Pelodiscus sinensis: one gene and its partners. The protein of the gene in region 2 purifies or fractionates together with the protein of the main gene of each other region. This does not show direct contact. Links are inferred from orthologs where the notes say so. Each region holds a gene or a part of one and is shown on either strand. Other genes may lie near its edges.

Region 1 (7,047 bases), on a different chromosome or scaffold from region 2:
AGTTCTCAGCCTATGCGTGGTACTTTATTTTATGCACACGCAGCATGGCGGCATAGCCGTGATCCCTGAAGATCCAGCTTTGTGGGGCAAGTTCCCCCTCCCTCCAGGGCTCACGTTGATGAACTGACACAAGACACCTAGGTGAGGGACAGTTAAAGGGACTCAATCGGGTTAAATTTAGCTGCAGGTTTCGATGGCCTGAAAGATTGTTTCAAAATTAATATAAAGAGCTAATGAAATGTTTAAAATTCAATTAAAATTATTTCTATGAGAACCAAGCTGTGCAGCACAAGGCTGGCACCAGAAAAATCTCAAAGAAAACTGGTCAAAAACTCGCTGTGAACCAGAAGAGCACTTGGCTAGATTGCATCAATATTCAAACAAGCCGGATGGTATCCCTTGAGGGCCAAGGATGATCCCAGGGCCAGAGAGCCCCAGTGGCTGGGAGCTGGGCAGCAGGACAGCTAGCAGCTGGGAGCCCTGGGAGCCCAGTGGGGCTGGCAGCAGCCTGGCAAGTGAGGGGGGACTGTGGCAACCCAATAGCCTGGCAGAGGAGCCAAGGTTGAGGCAGCAGCAGCCTACCTGAGGAGCTACGGTGTAGCAACACAGCAGCCCAGTAGAGGAGCCAGTATCGCCACATCGTAGCAATCCGGCAGGAGGGCTGGGGCTGCGGCAGCCCGGCAGGGGTTATGGGGCTGCGGCAGCCCGGCAGGGGTTATGGGGTTGCGGCAGCCCGGCAGGGGTTATGGGGCTGCGGCAGCCCGGCAGGGGTTATGGGGCTGCGGCAGCCCGGCAGGGGTTATGGGGCTGCGGCAGCCCGGCAGGCAGCCTGCCCAGGGCCAGTGGTAGGGTGACCGGCCGGGGCCGTAACCTGAGCCAGCAGTGGGTTGGGGGGCAGTGGCAGGGAACCTCCCCAAGTCTTGCAAATTCCCTCATGCAGGACCAGTCCAGTTCTGAGGGTGCTGGACCAGGGAAGTCCAACCTTTACCAACAAGGAGCACAAAGAATTAGGAGATTGGCACCACCCCTGAAAGCAAGTTTAGCTGCACCACTGACTTCTTACTCAGTGGAAGAATGGCTATGCATAAAGCCACAAAACACTAAGGCTGTGCAAAACTGGGCTCAACATTCTTAGCATTCATTCAGTGTTAGTGATCTGAGATGTTATGACATAGTTGAGAAAACTTTGTAGTACTTTTCCTTAGTGTGACAGTGTCCCTTTAAGGATTCACAGATTCTGCTCCTGGCTAAAAATTACCCACATCTTATTATTTGTTACCTTCTTTCCCCACCACAAATTGTTTGTTTCATCCACGCTTTATGCCAGGGGTGGGGAACCTCAGGCCTGTGGGCCCTTGCCTAGATCCGGCCCCCAGCTTGCCTAGTTCTGGCCCCCGATGCTCAGCATTGGGACATAGTAGGTGCTGAGCCTACTCCTAACAGGGCTGGAGCACACAAAATCTACTAGCCTGGGCCCCTTTAGGCTCTGGTGTGCATGGGGAATGTGGAGAATGTCTTTCTCCTTCTCAGTGAGGGGTTTCTGACTTTGCTTTTCACTTGTGCGGGGCCTCTGACTGATTTTTCTGGGGGTCAGTGGTCCCCGACCCAAAAAAGGTTCCCCAAAAAAGGTTCCCTGCTTTATGCCTTGGCTTTTAGGTTATAAGCTTTGTGGGGTGGAGTCTGCCATGTTTTATATACAGCATCTAGCACAACGGAGCTCAGGTTGGTTAGTCTCTGGGCCCTAGGGCAATATAAAGCAAGCCACCCGCACCCATGCCTACAACAGAAATCAGTTCATCCACTGAAATGCCGGGGTGAAGCATGGTGGCTGTTTAACAGCCATGTAAGTAAATGTAGGACAAATGAGGGACAAAGTATGTTGTATCTAAATAAAGCTGCAGGGAAATTTGTGCAGGGTGATCACCTAAGCAGCAATTCATCCCCAACAGAGTTAGTGGCCAGGCAGCCCAAAACAAACACACATGGCTGGTAACTTTCACCTCTCTTCCAGAGGACATAGCCCTCTGACCAGCACCTGCCACCCTTGCACTGGGCCCTGGATAACTGACAAGAGAGTCACCCGACACCCAATGAATCTCCCTTTAAGTCCCCCAAACTCAAATATGGACCAAGGTCAACCTGGCAGCCTCAAGCCAAGAGGGTCAAAGACCAGCTGTTGTGAACAGAGCGTCCTAGTCGGCTGAGAACGCCTATTTCAGATGAATGCCACGCTCCGATAGCACTCAGAAATAATAATGCTTCCTAACCCAGCAACTTTTAGAGGCCCCCATTCACACCATCATCATACAGCCCACGTTATGTCCAAGATTATGTTTATTTACCACAGTTTGGCAGGTCTCCACCCCACATTCACTGGGTCTCAAGCACTTGGATCTCAACTTTGAATGTTTTAGTAGATGGGCCCTCTCAGCTGCTGGTCACTCAGAGCCCCCTGGAGGGAGGCAGGGCGCAGCCCGCAGCACCCCTGAAATCCCAGCCCCCCAGTAACCTGCAGGGCAATCAAGGGCCTGACAGGAGAGCCACCCCAGCCGCACCTCTACCAGCAGCTCCCTCAAACGCTGCCAGAGGGGTGGAGCCCCTGGGGCCCTGCTGGCCGAGAATACAAGTGACGGGGTGTCTCAAGACCGAGGCCCTGCTAGATACAGTCCTGTCCTGCCACAGGGGTCCCCACGTGATGGAAGCCCCCCCCACCGATCAGCCCCACACCAGGCCTGACCCCCCATCTGATCTTACATCCCGAGCCCTTCGCCCCTCCAGCCCCCCCCCCCGGGCTAGGATCCTCCCCTTCCCCCGCCAGAGAGCCCCGGGGCCGCTCCCCAGCCCCTTACTCTCCAGCAGCTCGTCCAGCTCCCGGTCCGGGCCCGCCTGCCCGGCCCCCGCCGCCGCCGCCGCCATCTTCGCTGCCGCCTCCCGTCCGGTCCTGCGCGGGGCGGAGCTGGCCGGCCCGGAGCCTCCTGGGGGCAGGCCCGGCCGCCGCCGCCAGCTTAGGGGAGGGAGCGTCCCTCCTCCCCCCGCTGGGCGTTGCGCGGCCCGGCACCTCCCCTGCCGGCCCGGTACGCGCCTCCCCCAGGGCCTGGCCCCCCCACCAGGGCCCCTTACCCCTCCGAGCCTGGCACCTTTACCTGTCTGCCCTGCTCCCCTTCCAGGACCTGCCTTACCCCTCCGAGCCTGGCACCTTTACCTGTCTGCCCTGCTCCCCTTCCAGGACCTGCCTTACCCCTCCGTGCCTGGCACCTTTACCTGTCTGCCCTGCTCCCCTTCCAGGACCTGCCTTACCCCTCCGAGCCTGGCACCTTTACCTGTCTGCCCTGCTCCCCTTCCAGGACCTGTCTTACCCCTCCGAGCCTGGCACCTTTACCTGTCTGCCCTGCTCCCCTTCCAGGACCTGCCTTACCCCTTCGAGCCTGGCACCTTTACCTGTCTGCCCTGCTCCCCTTCCAGGACCTGCCTTACCCCTCCGAGCCTGGCACCTTTACCTGTCTGCCCCGCCCCCCTTCCAGGACCTGCCTTACCCCTCCGAGCCTGGCACCTTTACCTGTCTGCCCTGCTCCCCTTCCAGGACCTGCCTTACCCCTCCGAGCCTGGCACCTTTACCTGTCTGCCCTGCTCCCCTTCCAGGACCTGCCTTACCCCTCCGAGCCTGGCACCTTTACCTGTCTGCCCTGCTCCCCTTCCAGGACCTGCCTTACCCCTCCGAGCCTGGCACCTTTACCTGTCTGCCCTGCTCCCCTTCCAGGACCTGCCTTACCCCTTCGAGTCTGGCACCTTTACCTGTCTCCCCCGCCCCTCTTCCAGGACCTGCCTTACCCCTTTGAGCCTGGCACCTTTACCTGTCTGCCCCGCCCCCCTTCCAGGACCTGCCTTACCCCTTTGAGCCTGGCACCTTTACCTGTCTGCCCTGCTCCCCTTCCAGGACCTGTCTTACCGCTTCGAGCCTGGCACCTTTACCTGTCTCTCCTGCCCCCCTTCCAGGACCTGCCTTACCCCTTCGAGCCTGGCACCTTTACCTGTCTCTCTCTCCCCCGCTCCCCTTCCAGGACCTGCCTTACCCCTTCGAGCCTGGCACCTTTACCTGTCTCTCCCCCCCCTTCCAGGACCTGCCTTACCCCTTCGAGCCTGGCACCGTTACCTGCCACCCCCCCCCTTAGAATCTGGCATCCCTTACCTGGGTCCTCCCACTCCCCCTAGGAGCTGCCTTACCCCTTAGAGCCTGGCACCGCTTACCCGCCTCTACCAGGGGCTGGCACTTCCGGACCTACCTTACCATTTTAGAGCCTGGCACCCCTTGTCTGGCTCCCTCCTTTCTGCCTCCCTAGGGACTGGCAGCCTCCATCCTAGGGCCAGACAGCTACCTGTCCCCCTCTCCCTGCTGCACAGGCCCTGGCTTCCTCTTGCCTGCCACCCACCCTCCTTAGAGCCTGGTACCCATCACCTGTTCCTGCCTCCGGGGCCTGGCACCCCTGTTGGGTGTTGGCACCTTCACTCATCTCCATTAGGGCCTGGCATTAGCCACCTGCCTCCACCAAGTTTGGCAGCCTGCCCTTGCCAGGGTTGGCACCATAGGGACTATCACCCACCCCTTAGAGATTGACACCCCCACCAGACCTGGCATCCCACACCCTTTCCTTCCCCTCTTGCTTGGATCAGTCACACAGCCTCCCCCACCATCAAGGGGGCAACTAGAATTTTGCTAAAGAGGGTGCCCTACCATTATGCCAGCCAGTTCTAGTCAGGGGGTGCTGTTCTGCCTGCCCTCCCACCCTTGTTGTGTTCCTGCTTGATATTTGAGTTTTCATGAGAAGTTATACAGCAAAGAAAAGCTAGTGTGAAACTCAAATCCTTGCAAGCTGCATGGAAGCTTTTTTTAAAGACCCCATTATAGAGGCTTAAATTCAATACATAACCCAATTTAAAAAATATAGTAAAGTGCTACTGTGGCTAAGCAATAAAGTCAAAGTAGAAATTAAATTCTACTGAGAAAAACAGAAAAGAATATAAACTCTGGCAAGTGAAGTGTAAAAATATAACTAGGAAAGATAAAAAAGAATATGAAGAACAGTTAGCCAAAGACTCAGAAAGTTTAACATTAAAAAAAAAATCAGAAGTAGGAAGCCTGCTAAACAATCAATGGGGTCACTCAAGGTGGGTAAAGCATAGTGGAGAAATTAAATTAAGAAATCATTTAATTTTTCCACTGCTGAGAATACGATGGACATTCCCAAACCTGAGCCATTCTTTTTAGATGTCAAATCTAAGGAATAGTCTGAGATTGAGGTGTCATTAGAGGAAGTTTTGGAACAAACTGATAAACATTAATAAGTCACCAGCACCAGATGGTATCACCCAAGAGTTCGGAAGTAACTCAAATGTGAAATTGAACTACTAACCGGTATGTAACCTGTTTTTAAAATCAACTTCTGTACTTCAGGTTGCCTCATGTTAAAAAAGGTACAGAAAAGGGCAACAGAAATGATGAGGGGGATGGAGATTAACGAGACTTGGTTACGTTTACACTGCACACCTGAAAATTGTACAGCTGAGCTACTGCAACCACGTTGTTGTAAAGCACACAGTGCAGCCCTCTGTGACCAGGAAAGAGCCCACGGCCCTTAGCTGTCTTTTCCAACTCCAAAGGTCCATGCCATGTCTACACTGCACTTTTGCTGAAAAACACCCCCTGCACAACAAAAGTTTGAACGATTAAATGCGCCAGAGTGGACAGCACTTCATTGGCAAGGAAATGCTCTCCCACCGACAAAGCCACGACCCCTCATTTGGGGGAGAGTGTATTTTGTTGCCTGGAGAGCTCTCTCCCAGGAACAAAGAGCAGCTACACTGCGGTTTTCACAATGGCACAGCTGCAGTGTCACAGCCATGCTGTTGTAAAATACACAGTGTAGGCACAGTCTAAGGGGAGATATGGTAGAAGTCTATAAAATCATGACTGGTGTGGAGAAAGTAAATAAGGAAGTGTTAATTACTCTTTCATGTACATGCACAGGTTGACATGAACAAACAACAATATGTGACATATAACCTCCACCATGCAGAACACAACACTATACACAGCTTCAAAAACAATTCTAAGGTTATAATCAAAGAGGCTGACAAAGGGGGTGCTATAGTCATCAAGAACAGGACAGATTACAAACAGGAGGCTGCAAGAAAACTCATCAACACCACATTCTACAGGCCTCTTTCCTCTGATCCCACTGAAGAATACTCAGAAAAACCCTACACCATCTGCTCATGAAACTTGGGATGAAATCTATACAAACCCCTTGCTAAATCTCTAACCAGGAGTTTTCTATCTGCTACCCAAGATCCATAAACCTGGAAATCCCGGATGTCCTATCATCTCAGGCTTCAGCACACTTACAGCAGAATTATCTGGTTATGTTGACTCTCTCCTCAGACTCTATGCTATCAGCACTCCTAGCTACCTTCAAGACATCACTGACTTGCTAAGGAAACTACAGAACATCAGTAATCTTCCTGAAAACACCATCCTGGCCACCATGGATATAGAAGCTCTTTACTCCAACTTTCCACATGATGATTATTACTAGCTGTCAGGAACACTATCCCTGATGATGCTACTGCACACCTGGTTACTGTGCACTGTGACTTTGTCCTCACCCACAACTATTTCCAATTTGGGACCATTTATATCTTCAAGTTGACGACATCTTTGTTATATGGAACCACAGGACGAAACCCTTGAAGAATTCCACAGGGATTTCAACAACTTCCATACCACTATCAACCTTAGCCCGGACCAGTTCACACAAGAGATCCATTTCCTTGACACTACAGTACAATGGCCACATTTCCACCACCCTACATCAGAAACCTAATGACCATTATTCTTAGCTACATACCTCTAGCTTCCATCCAGGACACGTTACACAATCGTTTACAGACAGGCTTTAAGATACAACCGGATTTGCTCCTATCTGACAGACAGAGACAAACACCTACAGGATCTCTATCAGGCATTCTTAAAACTTAAATACTCACCTGGGT
Region 2 (7,262 bases):
AACAGAAGAAAGGATGGGTCAGTCAGGCAGCCCATCCACTGTCCCCACACCTCATGGTCTCCACCCCTGAGCCCAGGTGACACCACAGTAGTGTGCCTTGGGCCCACTCGGTTACTCCCCTTCCCCCCGTGTTGTATGTTTGCATACAGGACCGTCCCTGGAGTAGGGTCCTCCTCCATGTATTGTAACCACCGGTCTGTGTCCTGGCCCCTTGGAGGGTGGGAGGGATAGCCTTGAGCATAGATAGTGGCAGTACAAACTCAGAAATATAAAAATCTCTTGATTTGGACAGAGGCACATATTCTGTGTAAAGCAATATTGACTAAGGGATTTATGGTTACTAAGGCTTAACCCCAGTGCCCATCTGTATACCTTCCCAAATCTCCCTACATGCTGTTAGGCAAACAATTATTACCCGTGTGTATGTGAATATGTATCTGTCTATATCTATCTATATGCCTATATATCATGCTGCTTCCAGAGAAGATATTTTGTAAAATGTGGATCTTATATATACTAAGCTGCTTCACAGGAGAGTTGTGAAGAATAACTAGTTAATGTTTGAAAGTGTCAGGGACCACAGAAGTGCTATAAGTCATTTAATCATTTCTTACATTAAAATGCAAAATACGTCAAAGTACATTCTGTACAAACTCCAGCATAACACAGATGAAGTCTGAACAAATTAAAGATTAAATTCTTTCCAATCAATGCACCTTTATTTTTTCCTCTGCTCATAATAAAACCTTTCAAGTTCTCATTGTGGAACAAATCCTGTCACCATCCTTGTAAGAAGGCAATAGAACGCAAGGCACACCTATGCTTTGTAAGAGTGGAGGACCAAGCTGCAAGGACTCCATGCAACAAGATTCCACAATCCCTCTACCTACCATGGAATTGTTCTGAAGCTGCATTCTGTTCTGCAACACAGTCTGTGGGGGCAAGTGAGGTTAATTCCATCTCTGCTGTTGATGGGGATTGAGGAATTATGGAAATGTCAATTATTTCTTCCTATGCCATGTAGTAAGGGATGACAGCCCGCCTATTGAAACAACAAAAACCGTGGGACATTAGAATTCTGTTAGTCAGTCCTGTAGAGGCCTTTCAGGGTACATCTACACAGCAAGGCTAAGTCTAGACTGGCATGATTTTCCGCAAATGCTTTTAACGGAAAAGTTTTTCTGTTAAAAGCATTTGCGGAAAAGAGCGTCTAGATTGGCACGGATGCATTTGCGCAAAAGCACTTTTTGCGGAAAAGCGTCCGTGCCAATCTAGATGCAGTTTTGCACAAGAAAGCCCCGATCGCCATTTTTGCCATCGGGGCTTTTTTGCGCAAAACAGTTTTTACCTGTCTACACCGGCCCTCTTGCGCAAAAGCATTTGCACAAGGGGGCTTTTTCCCGAGTGGGAGCATCATAGTATTTGCGCAAGAACACTGACAATCTTACATTAGATCATCAGTGTTCTTGTGCAAATTCAAGTGGCCAGTGTAGACAGCTGACCAGTCTAGACACAGCCCAAAGCTAAAGTGGAATTAAACTACACAATTGCATAGCTTAAATTGAAATAGCTTAATTCGGCTTTTGGTGCTTCGACTTCCCTTACTACTCATGAAATGAGGGTTACCATGAGTCAGAGTAAGAAGTCCTCCATCTCAGCATTATTTCAAAATAAAAGCTTGTAGTTTAGACATGCACTACGTTTTTTCGAAATAATGTCAGTTATTCTGAAATAATGCTGCTGTGTAGACATACCCACATAGAACAGGTTCCTGTGTTTGAAACAGAGATATTATGTAAACTAACAATTTCAGCGATTGTTTGGTTATGTGAACAGGAGACATCTGCAGACCTGACAGCTTTGGTAGTTCCCAGTTGTGCTGCAGCATATGGTCTTCAGGTCTTGGTGTATCTTTATGTATCTTACTTTCTTGACTAGAAGAGTTCAGTTGTCAAGAATGTAATACATTCAAACTCAGTAGGATAGGGTAGGAAAAAATGATAGCTGTTTGCTGCAGAACTCCATAGTGTCAGTGCTAAAAGAGCCTTTTCCACTCTGAAAATGAGTTGAACATTTGCAGTAGGAGAAATGATAACTACAGTGGGAATTCCTAAAGGCTAGATCTATGCTGCACACCACTGGTGCTGGCATATAGGGTACGTGTAACTATATGCCGCAATGAAAAGCAACCTGCATATACTTTGTGGTGTGTAGCAATACATCAATGAAAGATAGCAGTAGGGGGGAAATAGCTGTGGCCAGGGAAAGGCTCTGGTGATGATGAACATTGGGAGCCTTTCCCTACCATCTCCTCCATGCCCTTTCCTTGCTGCTAGAGTCTTTCCATGTGATGGGAAAAATTCCACTATACAAAACAGAACTAAAAGTAGCCCTACAGATGTGGGAGATATTGCTTGGACATGTAGAGAAGTGAAGCTGTTTGTAGGATAGGTGCCCACAGGGTTCAGACATGTCTATACTCCACTCAGCAGTGCTTCCCCGTCTCCACTGCTATTCATGCACATACCAAAAGGATGTCTTACTCCACATGCCTCCATAAAGAGTGCGCAATGCTGACATATTTTCAGTTTAGGTCAGGAACGAGGTAAGAGATCACTCACTGTCAAATGGTCAGTTTCATACAAATTCAAATAGAAACGATGATTGACCATAGATAAAGTGTGTGTGTGTTGGTTTGTGGTTTATTTAGTTTTTGGTGAACTCTGTAAATGTCTGAGTCTATTGCATTCAGGAGGCTAACAGTATGCATTAAATAAATTATTCTTGCACTATCTTCAAGATCGTAGATACATTAGGCTTTACATTATACTTTTTTTCTTATGAGATGTGACAGACATCTCTCCCAGCACCTTTAATCTAGTACCCATCCTTCTTGTGCAATTTGCAATCTGTAATATATACTAAGGTTACCCCCACAGTGCTGCAAAGTTTATTTATGTTGACCTGGTGTGATTTTAAAAAATCCTATTTGTCTCTAATGAAAGCCAGACAATCCACCCACAATGTATCTGATAGTGTAATAGTATTTCCAGATGCACAAACTCAGTATGTTATACTAACCATCAAAAACCCACATAATTTAATGTGTTGTCCAAATGTGTGTGTGCGCATATATATGCTGGTTTGTACAAGGAAAATATTATAAAACAATTTTTTTCTTAATTCAGTATTCCTTAACCAAGCAACACAGGAACAGGAGCATACAATATAGCAAAAACCATTAGTTCCAAGTAGGATCAGTGCCCAAGGGACTATGAGTTATTGAGGGAGGAAAGGACACATAAAAATAATATAGTTAGACTCTTTTTTTCTACTCTCACAAACTCCATAGAGAGTTTTAATGATAAAATGCACACTGTGGGAACAGGATCGGTCCCATAGAAAGCAGTAGCAAAACTCCAAGCTCTAGTGCACTGTCGTAACTTTTTTAATCATTAACTTCGTCCGGTAATTATTTATTTTTCCCCCGGGAGGTCCTTCATAAAGCTCTCTTGGCATTTTTTAAAAAGTTCATTTCCAAATCTCTCCTTTGAAAGCAAAGGAGCGACTGACTGATTTTAGCCTCCCACTCCCGTCTCCCACAATTACTCCTTATCAGTCTTTTGCTTTCTGACAGAGTTGCTCGGGAACTGATTTCCACTCTCGCCTCCTCAAGAACGCAGGCGAGACTTCCCAGTTCGCTTTTGCCAGACATCCTCCCTCTCTCACACACACCCAGAGAGAAGGGCCGAGCCTGTGTTTACTTCCAGGAGGTGCGGAACGCAGGGGATTCCAGCAAAGTCAATGGGATTAGGCTACCTCCTGCGTAGCTGCGGCGATAGTCAAAGGGCGGGGGGGACGTGCAAGTGAGCAGGGCTCCAGTCCTCTCCCAGCCTTTCGCCCAGGGCTCAGCTCGCTCTGCCTCCGCCTGAGGAGCCCTGAGGCAAAGACCGTGCTCGATCCCTGCCCTTCCTAGGTACGAGGCCAAGGGCAGGGCTGCAAAGCTGCAGCCACAGCGAAGAGGGCGAGCTCCTCTTTAGCAAATGCTAAGGCGAGCGGCAGGCTGAGGGGACTGGGCAGGAACTAGGGACATTCGCTTAGCTCCCCCCAGGGCTCCCGGCCCAGGTGAGCGCCCCCCCCCAGCCCCTCACCTGGAACACGGGAGGGGGGAGGCGCCGCCAGGGTGTCTCCTCCTCCAGTCCCGCCCCTGCCCCGCCCCCTGCGCGGGGCGGGCGGATTCCCCAGAGGGAGCCCCTGAGCCTGCTGGCTGGCTGCGTGCGGGGAAAGTTTGGCTGCGAGCGGAGGAGTTGGGACAAGGGGGCGAGAGCGGAGCTGCCGCCTGCCCGAGCCAGCAGCGCCCTCCGCCCCGGGCGCGAGCAGCAGGGTCGCCGCCAGCAGCCCCCGGCACTTGCTCCGCCGCGCACGTGGGGCGGTGGGAGCCGCCGCCGCCGCCCTGGCAGCAGCAGCAGCAGCTCAGCATGGTCTGCAGAGCCGGGCAGCGCAGCTGAGCGCCGCCGGGACCAGGAGGGAGCCGCGACGAGCCCCGGGGATTGTTGCCCAGCCCAGCATGGGGGACTGGAGCCGCCGGCCGCGGGCAGCAGCCAGCGGGCACCTCCGGGCTGGGGGCGCCGCTGTCCTGGTGCTGCTCCTCTCCTGCGTCTGCCTCAGCGCCGCGGTGGAGAAGAAAGGTACCGCTCGCGCCCTGCTGCGCTGCCCGTGTGTTCGGGGGGAGCCCGCTGTCCCCAGGCTGGGGGGGGGTTAAACTTTCCCTCCGGCTCCGTAGCGCTGCGCTGTCCAGATGCCCTGACCGAGAGGGTGTCACTGGCGCGGCGTCCCATTGCCTGAGGCGGGGGCTTGCTTTCTCCTGGGAGGGGAGGGAGAGAAAATCCTGGGCACGTCCCTTGCCCTTTCCCCAGCCAGCACCGCGCGCTGCGATCCCCAGGTTGGCCCCTCGCAACCCGGCCCTCCGGAGCGCCCACCCCCCTTTGCGCCCCGCACGTGTAAACCCGGCAGCGCCCGAGGCGGGTCCTAGGCAGCCTGGCAAACGAAGTCCCTCCGTGCCCTTGTTCTCAGGGGCCTCTCCGAGGCGTCGCTGGGGGGTGCGGAGCCACGAGCGGAGAGGCAGTGACAGGCGGCTGGGTCGGTTTCACAAGCGCTGAGGCTTGTCCTATTGCCCGAGGCTTATTAACGTCTTCCTGGATGGGGGCGCATGGATGATTCACAGACCTGCCGGAGCCAAATAACTCGTGTACCAGGCGAGCCTCAGTTTTGGAACAACTGCAGGCAGGTTGGGCTCTTGGCTTGTGGTTCTCACCGGCTCCTGAGCCCTGTTGAGCTGAAATGCGCGCAGGGGGCACGTTGTGGGGTGACCAGTCTAAACAAATTGGCAAGTTTTGTGAATGGCCGGCGCGGCTTGTTTCTCACGGTCGGCTGCGCTGACTGTTTCTTGTCCTGTAGCCGTGTACTGACGCGGGCGTAGTGAGAACTGTTCAGCCTAGTTTGCAAGGTTTTAATACGTTAAGGAAGCAGTTTCAGTTTGGGGAAGAAAAAAAGTTTTTGGTTGGCCAAACTCTCTCTCTCCCCCCCCCCCCCCTTTTATAAGCTTCAAGGATAGGCAGCCAACTTCGGTTCCAGGCAAAATTGTCTTTATCTTGGGAATCCTCCAACAACAACACAATGCAGATTTTTGTTTAAAAAAAATTGAGAAAAGACCTAATAGTTTTAGAAAGTCTGTTAGAGGAGCGTTAGCATTTCGTGACTCCGAACAATCAAACCATCTTTGAAAAGTAGAAACACGCCTTTTCAGAAAGCTAATTGCACAATCTTGAAATCAAGAGGCACTCTGGTTCCAAGAAGCAAGCTCGTACCTGTTGCTGATGTAATTAGGGCAGGGTTTGGGGGCAGTTGACTCCCTTTGCTGTGATTGTGCAGCTCAGATAAAATTGTTTTGAAACACAGACTGAGTTTTACAATTTCTGCAAAATATTTTGATGCAAGGACAATACTAAAGCTTACAGCATTAAGAGGTAGCAATTATTGTATTGGTGTTACAGTCTCGGAGCCCTAGGTCTGACCAGGAAGGAGCCCATTCTATGATTATTTAATAAGCCAGTAGTAAAGAAATGATAGACAATAGCTTCACCACCCACACCTCGGTTATAATTAGTTGCCAGTGCCTTTTCACATCAGGAGAGTTAGACCTGTTGACCAAGACAGAAGTAGTGTATGTCATCTTCAAATTACACTGAGTTGCCTGATTGTTCTGTTTTTGCTGTATTTGTATGCTCATTAAAGGTGAGCAGCAGAAAAGTGCTTTTAGGTAGCATGCTCCTGCTTCAACAAATTAAATGATAAAATTCCCATTGGAGGCTATGATACAGGAAGAATCCTCACTGAAGAATCATCAAATAGTTATGTAGCACTTTAAAGACTAACAAAACATGTAGATGGTATCATGAGCTTTCATGGGCACAGCCCACTTCTTCAGATGAGCAGAGTGTTGGATGTCCAGGCCCAAAATAAATAGGGGAGAAGGGGGTGGGGATAGAAGAAGGAAAAAATGGGAGGGAGGAACAAGAAGAGGCAGTGGGTAAAAAATATCAAGGGGAAAGCTGAGCTGGAAGTTTTAAGTTTATCCTGGACAGACTAACTTGGATACCCGCTGAAGGTTCATAAAATAGTTCCACATTTTAACTTTTGCCTTCAAAGTAATAGGTGCATGATAGATCAGATCATCTTCATGACCCCAGAACCTGCCTCCATGTTTGGGTACATGGGATCCTTTTTTTGATACGATATATCACCAACTTGAGGGGCTGGAGGTGCATAAGCAATACAAACCAATGAAGTGCTACAGTAAACTAATATGAAGCATCTAAGAAATTTTAAGCTGTATATAGTTATGAGCATTCACATTTTAAAAATTTCACCTGAACTTAATGTCATTTCTTACTGTACAAAGAGATGATTTTTTTAAAGGACTCGGATACTAGTACAATGTTTGTTAGAATGCAAAATGTACAATTTTACATTTTGGTTTGAGTTGAGGTGACTTCAATACCATTTTTTTTAAAAATCTTTCTTTAAACATTGAGAATTAAAAACAAATTTAAATACAGCCGAGTGAAAACTAATCTTGGTTTTTTTTTTTTTTTTTAAAGAATCATCAACTTTCCCAAACCAAATCAGTGATACTAAACATTTTAACATACTGACAGATGAGAATCTGGCTCAGCCTCAGATCCATTGGTGTAAACACAGAT
Region 3 (7,074 bases), on a different chromosome or scaffold from region 2:
CCCACAGCTCCCCCCTTAGACTCCAGCCCCCTCCCGTCAATGCCAGCTGGCCCCTCGGAGGGGGGCCCTACCCCAACAACTGCGTCTCACCTCTCAGCCTCCTCTGTCCTGCTGGGGGCGTAGGCCGCGGACTCGCCGATCTGCAAGGAAAAGCATCGGCCGTCACGCCCCAGGCTGGCCAATTTCACACCCACCTGGTTCGCAAACGTGTTCACCTGAAACCTCCCCCCCCCAAGGCCCTTGGGCCTGTCCCCTCACTTCTGTGCTGCTGCCACAGCTGGGCGCTTCCGGGGTCTGAGGTGCCTGTGCAGAGCAGTCTGCAGGGGAGGGAGGGAACACACAGATGGCTGCTTCTACAGGGAAGAGGGGAGGGGGAGCTGTGGGGGGAGGGCTGCTAAGGGGGGGGAGGGAGCCCTGGCACATTTTCTACCGCAGTGAAATTGGTAGGGCCCCAATCATCAGGTTACTCCAGGCATGGGGGGCTGCAGGTGCTGTCCAGCTATGGGGCAGGAGCTCGCTCAGCCACATACCCTGGCTCTGTCTAGGGAGTCATTTGCATCTCTCCAGCACGGGACACGCTGCACCACCAGCCTTTCCTTGGGGAGTCCCCCTCCCCCTGCACCCTCTTTGGCTCTGGAACAGCAGACACTAAGCAGTGCCAGCCCGGCAGCGCTGGGCGCAGAGGCAAGCCGGGGCCCTTCGTGCTCTAGCACTAGAGCAAGTGGCCTTAATTCAGCTCCCTTCGAAAGGGAGAGACCTAAACTGAATGAAGGGCACCTCCAGGGTTGCGTGTGCTTCAACAGGAGCGCGCCCGGGCCCGACAGTCACACTCGAGGCCTTACTCGGGGGGACCAAGGGAGGAGCTAGAGTCCAGCGATTCCCTTTTCGTTTGCCATGACGGGAGCGGCAGAGCCAGCGGGAAGGATTCGATTCTTATCGATCGAGCCCAGCAAAGCTCGGTTTCCGCAGACACTCAACTCAAAAAAAAGAAAGGCGGGCTACTGACAGCAACAGCCAGCGGGGACCGCTTCTCGGGCTGTGGTTCAGGGTACTTGCTCTGCTTGGGTAGGCCATGCTGACAGCTGGTGCTTTAACAGTTACAAAGTTGACATTTTGTTACAAAGGTGCCCTGGGGCGGCCAGGCACCTGCTGCTGGGTCATGCTTCCGGACAGCCGCCAGCGGGGGTCACCCACAGCCCATGCAGAGCAACCAGCAAGGGACTGACTCTACACCACACAACATCACCCAACTTAGTTCCAGCTTCACCAGCCCCTCCCATCACCCAGCCGCCAACAGCCTGCCAGGCTGGACCAGCAGCCAAGTGCAGGATTGCCCCAGGGTGCTGGAGATGGGGCAGAATTGGGGGTCAGATGTGGTAGGACCAAGTAGGAGGGAGCGGAGGGGCAGTGTGAGAGTCTGGGTTGGGGCGGGGGGCAGAGAGCGTAGGGAGAGAACTGGAGCTGCCCCCTGCCCCAGATCCCTGCCCCCAAATAAGGCCTGACTTACCGGCTGGCGGGCAGTGGCTTCCCCCATGGGACCTGGGCCTGACCCGTAGAACCACGAGGAGGAGGAGGAGGAAGATTCTTCGTAAGACTCGCTGTCCACATCTGGGGGGGAGGAGTGGGGTGAGATAGGGGCTGGGCGTGGCTCTTCTCCCCCCACCCCCCCAGAGCACCACCCCTGGAACTCCCTGGTGCAGGAATGTCAATGTGGCCTGGGGGACGGGGTGGGGATGGGGTGTCAGGCCCAGGCCTGAGAAGTTACAAAGCTTCCCCTCCCCTCTGTGTTCCCACACATCCTCCCTGCTCTGTACCCCCCTTGCACCCGCACCAGAGGAAATGCCTGCCCCCCTCACCATCCCCAAGGTAGCTGGTGCGACCCTCTCGGCGAGGAAAATCATACAGCTCCCGCGTGTACGTCCTGGTGGGGCTGGATATCTGGAGGCAGAGACACACAGGAGGGATTAGTGGGAGGGCACCTTTAGCCCCCACCCCCATGGGAGAAAGGAACCCCCAGATGCCCCAACCTTTGTACCCCAAGTCCAGGAAAACTGCCATGCCCCTCACTCCCAACCCACAGTCTGCTGCTCATCCCAGCCTGAGCTCTGCCGGCGCCCCTCACTTGCCACCCACAGCCCCTGCCAGCCCAGCCCCCCCCTCCGGCCCTGCCCGACCCAGGGTGCCCACCCCCCAAGCTCTGCCCACGGCCCTCACTCCACCCCGCAGCCCCTCTCACTGTCGTCCCCGTAGCGGTGCCGCTCCTCTGGTGGGCGGTAGCTGTAGGATTCCTGGATGTAGGTCTTGGTAGTGCTGGGCTCTGGACACACAGAAAAGGGGGGGGGGGGGAGGGTGTCAGCGGCTACGCTGCTGGCTCCTCCCCAGCCCTCCTGGCCCCCCACTCACCCGAGTAGCTCACAGACCCCCCAGGGGCGACAGCTTGGTGCGCTGGCTCTCGAACTCATAGATCTTCTTCTCATAGAGCTTCCGGGTCGATCCTGGGGGCCGGGAGACAAGGGGGGGGGGGTCAGGTGGGCCCACGGTGCCCTGCCCCCCACAGCTCACAGAATGTCTCTGCCCCCCCCCCATCCCTGCTCCGCCTGTTCCCATCACACCCCGCTGGCTGCCCCCCAGAGCCTGCTTCTCTTGCCTCCCCACGGCCCCCCAGCGCCCCCCCCAGATCCCCCCTCGCGGCCCCCCAGCCCCCCCCAGATCCCCCCCCGCGGCCCCCCCCAGCTCCTCCCTCGCGGCCCCCCAGCGCCCCTCCCCCCCGTACCCACGACGGGCCCGTGCGCGATGCCGTAGCGCTGCAGCCGGGCGACGAGCTCGGTGTCCGACAGGTCCCGGTACCGCTCCATGGCGGGCGGGGCGGGGCGGGCGCTTCCGGCGCGGAGCGGGCCCAGGAGGCGCCAGCGGCGACAGGAAGTGACACGCGGGGGAGGGGCCGGCAAGGGCGCAGCGCGCCGCCCCGAGCAACGCCCCGCCCCGCTGGGCCCGCCCTAGCAACGCCCCGCCCCGCTCGGCCCGCCCTAGCAACCGCTCGCCCCGCCCCGCTGGGCCCGCCCTAGCAACGCCCCGCCCCGCTCGGCCCGCCCTAGCAACGCCCCGCCCCGCTCTGCTCGGCCCGCCCTAGCAACGCCCCGCCCCGCTCCGCTCCGCTCGGCCCGCCCTAGCAACGGCTCGCTCGGCCCGCCCTAGCAACGCCCTAGCCCGCGTGTCCGCCCAGCTTCCCCCCCCCCTCCCTGGCAACGGTCTCGCGCCCCTCGCAACGCCCCCTCCCAGCTGGGGAACTCCCCGCCCGCCCCGCTGAGCCCGGGCGCCTGGGTTCTGGGGGGGGGGGCAGGGCGCCTGGGTCCTGGGGGGGGGCAGGGCGCCTGGGTTCGGGGGGGGCAGGGCGCCTGGGCCCTCGGGGGGGGCAGGGCGCCTGGGTCCTCGGGGGGGAGCAGGGCGCCTGGGTCCTCGGGGGGGAGCAGGGCGCCTGGGTTCGGGGGGGGCAGGGCGTCTGGGCCCTCGGGGGGGGCAGGGCGCCTGGGTCCTCGGGGGGGAGCAGGGCGCCTGGGTTCGGGGGGGCAGGGCGCCTGGGCCCTCGGAGGGGGGGCAGGGTGCCTGGGTCCTCGGGGGGGGGCAGGGCGCCTGGGACCTCGGGGGGGGCAGGGCGCCTGGGTTCGGGGGGGCAGGGCGCCTGGGCCCTCGGGGGGGGCAGGGCGCCTGGGTTCGGGGGGGCAGGGCGCCTGGGCCCTCGGGGGGGGGCAGGGCGCCTGGGACCTCGGGGGGGGCAGGGCGCCTGGGTTCGGGGGGGCAGGGCGCCTGGGCCCTCGGGGGGGGCAGGGCGCCTGGGTTCGGTGGGGCAGGGCGCCTGGGCCCTCGGGGGGGGCAGGGCGCCTGGGTTCGGGGGGGCAGGGCGCCTGGGTCCTCGGGGGGGGGCAGGGCGCCTGGGTTCGGGGGGGCAGGGCGCCTGGGCCCTCGGGGGGGGCAGGGCGCCTGGGTTCGGGGGGGCAGGGCCCCTGGGCCCTCGGAGGGGGGCAGGGCGCTCACCGCCCCCAGAAGGCCGCGGGAGATACGAGCCCGTGTGACTCATCACTTCTCCTTGGCCAGTTTCGATTTCCCCACGAGCGCCCCGCCCCCCCGCCCCCCCAAACAGGTGTCCTGCCCTCCCGCAGCTCACACAGCGCCAGGGCACCGCGAGAGACACTCCTGCAGGGAGAGCGGGGCGCCTGCACACACTGGGAAACTGAGGCACGCAGTCACTGAGCAGGTGAGTGTCCTGGTCCCCCCCCCGCCCTAACCACTAGACCCCACTCCCCTCCCATTGCTGGGGACAGAGCCCAGGAGTCCTGGCTCCCAGCCCCTCCCTCCCCCGCCCTAACCACTAGACTCCACTCCCCTCCCATTGCGGGGGGGATGGAGCCCAGGAGTCCTGGCTCCCAGCCCCTCCCTCCCCCGCCCTAACCACTAGACCCCACTCCCCTCCCATTGCTGGGGACGGAGCCCAGGAGTCCTGGCTCCCAGCCCCTCCCTCCCCCGCCCTAACCACTAGACTCCACTCCCCTCCCATTGCTGGGGACAGAGCCCAGGAGTCCTGGCTCCCAGCCCCTCCCTCCCCCGCCCTAACCACTAGACTCCACTCCCCTCCCATTGCGGGGGGGACGGGGACGGAGCCCAGGAGTCCTGGCTCCCAGCCCCTCCCTCCCCCGCCCTAACCACTAGACTCCATTCCCCTCCCATTGCTGGGGACGGAGCCCAGGAGTCCTGGCTCCCTGCTCTACCCCAGAGACAGCCGCATCACCTGCTTCCCCTCACTCCTCTTCCTCTCCGACCCCAGCCATGCTGGCCCCTCAGGATTTCCAAACCTTCGTCTTTCTGGACCTGGAGACCACCGGCCTGCCCCAGGAGCACCCCCGCTTGGCTGAGCTGTGCCTCTTCGCCCTGCATCGCCGCTCCCTCCTACAGCGCCCCCCGCAGGACGCCGCTGGCGCCCCCCAGTTGCCCCGCATCCTGGACCAGCTGACCCTGTGCATCGACCCCCTGAAGCCCTTCAGCCCGAAAGCCGCCGACATCACGGGGCTCAGCCAGCAGGGCCTGCAGGAGAACGGCAAGCGGGGTCTGGACCAGGCCGTGGCTCGGGCCCTGGGCGGGTTCCTGGCCCGCCAAGCCGCCCCCCTCTGCCTGGTGGCCCACAATGGCTTCGACTACGATTTCCCCTTGCTGCGGGCGGAGCTGGCGCGTGTGGGGGCCGAGCTGCCTCCTGGCACCGGCTGCCTGGACACCCTGAGGGCCCTGCAGGAGCTGGGCCTGGGGAGCGAGAGGGGCTACAACCTGGGGGCGCTGTTCCGGGGGCTCTTCGGCAGGGAGCCCGACGGGGCCCACTCGGCCGAGGGCGACGTCCGCACCCTCCTCGCCATCTTCCTCGCCCGGGCCCCGGCCCTCATGGGCTGGGCGGCAGAGAAGGCCCGAGCCTGGGAGGAAGTGACCCCCATGTAGCCCCCCAGCACACAGTGAGCGCCAAGAGCCCTGGGCGCTCTCTGGGGGGAAGGAAGAGGGGGAGAGGTCTGAGAGCCAGGACGCCTGGGTTCTCAGAGAGGAGTGGGGGCTAGTGCTTAGAGCGGGGGTGGGGGGCTGCGAGCCATTACCTGGGTTGTGTTGGCTCTGGGTGGGGAGTGGGGGGCTGGGGGTTACAGCAGGGGAGGACTCCTGGGGTCTGTCTTGTGTCTGGGTGGGGGGGGGGGGCTGGGGGTTACAGCAGGGGAGGACTCCTGGGGTCTGTCTTGTGTCTGGGGGGGGGGGGGCTGGGGGTTACAGCAGGGGAGGACTCCTGGGGTCTGTCTTGTGTCTGGGTGGGGAGTGGGGGGCTGGGGGTTACAGCGGGGGAGGACTCCTGGGGTCTGTCTTGTGTCTGGGTGGGGAGGGGGGGGCTGGGGGTTACAGCGGGGGAGGACTCCTGGGGTCTGTCTTGTGTCTGGGTGGGGAGGGGGGGGCTGGGGGTTACAGCAGGGGAGGACTCCTGGGGTCTGTCTTGTGTCTGGGTGGGGGGGGGGCTGGGGGTTACAGCAGGGGAGGACTCCTGGGGTCTGTCTTGTGTCTGGGTGGGGGGGGGGCTGGGGGTTACAGCAGGGGAGGACTCCTGGGGTCTGTCTTGTGTCTGGGTGGGGAGGGGGGGCTGGGGGTTACAGCGGGGGAGGACTCCTGGGGTCTGTCTTGTGTCTGGGTGGGGGGGGGGCTGGGGGTTACAGCAGGGGAGGACTCCTGGGGTCTGTCTTGTGTCTGGGTGGGGAGGGGGGGGCTGGGGGTTACAGCGGGGGAGGACTCCTGGGGTCTGTCTTGTGTCTGGGTGGGGGGGGGGCTGGGGGTTACAGCAGGGGAGGACTCCTGGGGTCTGTCTTGTGTCTGGGGGGGGGGGGGGCTGGGGGTTACAGCGGGGGAGGACTCCTGGGGTCTGTCTTGTGTCTGGGTGGGGGGGGGGCTGGGGGTTACAGCAGGGGAGGACTCCTGGGGTCTGTCTTGTGTCTGGGGGGGGGGGGGCTGGGGGTTACAGCAGGGGAGGACTCCTGGGGTCTGTCTTGTGTCTGGGTGGGGAGGGGGGGGCTGGGGGTTACAGCAGGGGAGGACTCCTGGGGTCTGTCTTGTGTCTGGGGGGGGGGGGGGCTGGGGGTTACAGCAGGGGAGGACTCCTGGGGTCTGTCTTGTGTCTGGGTGGGGGGGGGCTGGGGGTTACAGCAGGGGAGGACTCCTGGGGTCTGTCTTGTGTCTGGGTGGGGAGGGGGGGGCTGGGGGTTACAGCAGGGGAGGACTCCTGGGGTCTGTCTTGTGTCTGGGTGGGGAGGGGGGGGCTGGGGGTTACAGCAGGGGAGGACTCCTGGGGTCTGTCTTGTGTCTGGGTGGGGAGGGGGGGCTGGGGGTTACAGCGGGGGAGGACTCCTGGGGTCTGTCTTGTGTCTGGGTGGGGGGGGGGGCTGGGGGTTACAGCAGGGGAGGACTCCTGGGGTCTGTCTTGTGTCTGGGTGGGGAGGGGGGGCTGGGGGTTACAGCGGGGGAGGACTCCTGGGGTCTGTCTTGTGTCTGGGTGGGGAGGGGGGGCTG

The links. Proteins that work in one complex are often made in the same cells at the same time.
Region 1: the proteins of EGFR (region 2) and PEX19 purify together in Homo sapiens (co-immunoprecipitation; 3 studies listed by BioGRID and IntAct, with this or other methods). This does not show direct contact. The link is inferred for Pelodiscus sinensis from reciprocal best matches to the Homo sapiens genes EGFR and PEX19.
Region 3: the proteins of EGFR (region 2) and EMD purify together in Homo sapiens (affinity purification with mass spectrometry; 4 studies listed by BioGRID and IntAct, with this or other methods). This does not show direct contact. The link is inferred for Pelodiscus sinensis from reciprocal best matches to the Homo sapiens genes EGFR and EMD.

The regions. Positions count from the first base shown.
Region 1 is NC_134734.1:14,636,682-14,643,728, forward strand, and holds the start of PEX19 (peroxisomal biogenesis factor 19), read right to left. Parts: upstream 3,021-7,047; 5' UTR 2,917-3,020; coding exon 2,850-2,916; intron 1-2,849. UniProt on the Homo sapiens protein: Necessary for early peroxisomal biogenesis. Acts both as a cytosolic chaperone and as an import receptor for peroxisomal membrane proteins (PMPs).
Region 2 is NC_134712.1:164,043,072-164,050,333, forward strand, and holds the start of EGFR (epidermal growth factor receptor), read left to right. Parts: upstream 1-4,259; 5' UTR 4,260-4,567; coding exon 4,568-4,688; intron 4,689-7,262. UniProt on the Homo sapiens protein: Receptor tyrosine kinase binding ligands of the EGF family and activating several signaling cascades to convert extracellular cues into appropriate cellular responses.
Region 3 is NW_027466045.1:55,910-62,983, forward strand, and holds the start of EMD (emerin), read right to left. Parts: upstream 3,021-7,074; 5' UTR 2,856-3,020; coding exon 2,774-2,855; intron 2,496-2,773; coding exon 2,421-2,495; intron 2,375-2,420; coding exon 2,364-2,374; intron 2,316-2,363; coding exon 2,237-2,315; intron 2,088-2,236; coding exon 1,857-2,087; intron 1,609-1,856; coding exon 1,508-1,608; intron 141-1,507; coding exon 91-140; intron 1-90. Other genes in the region: TREX2 (three prime repair exonuclease 2), read left to right, coding at 4,822-5,478. UniProt on the Homo sapiens protein: Stabilizes and promotes the formation of a nuclear actin cortical network. Stimulates actin polymerization in vitro by binding and stabilizing the pointed end of growing filaments. Inhibits beta-catenin activity by preventing its accumulation in the nucleus.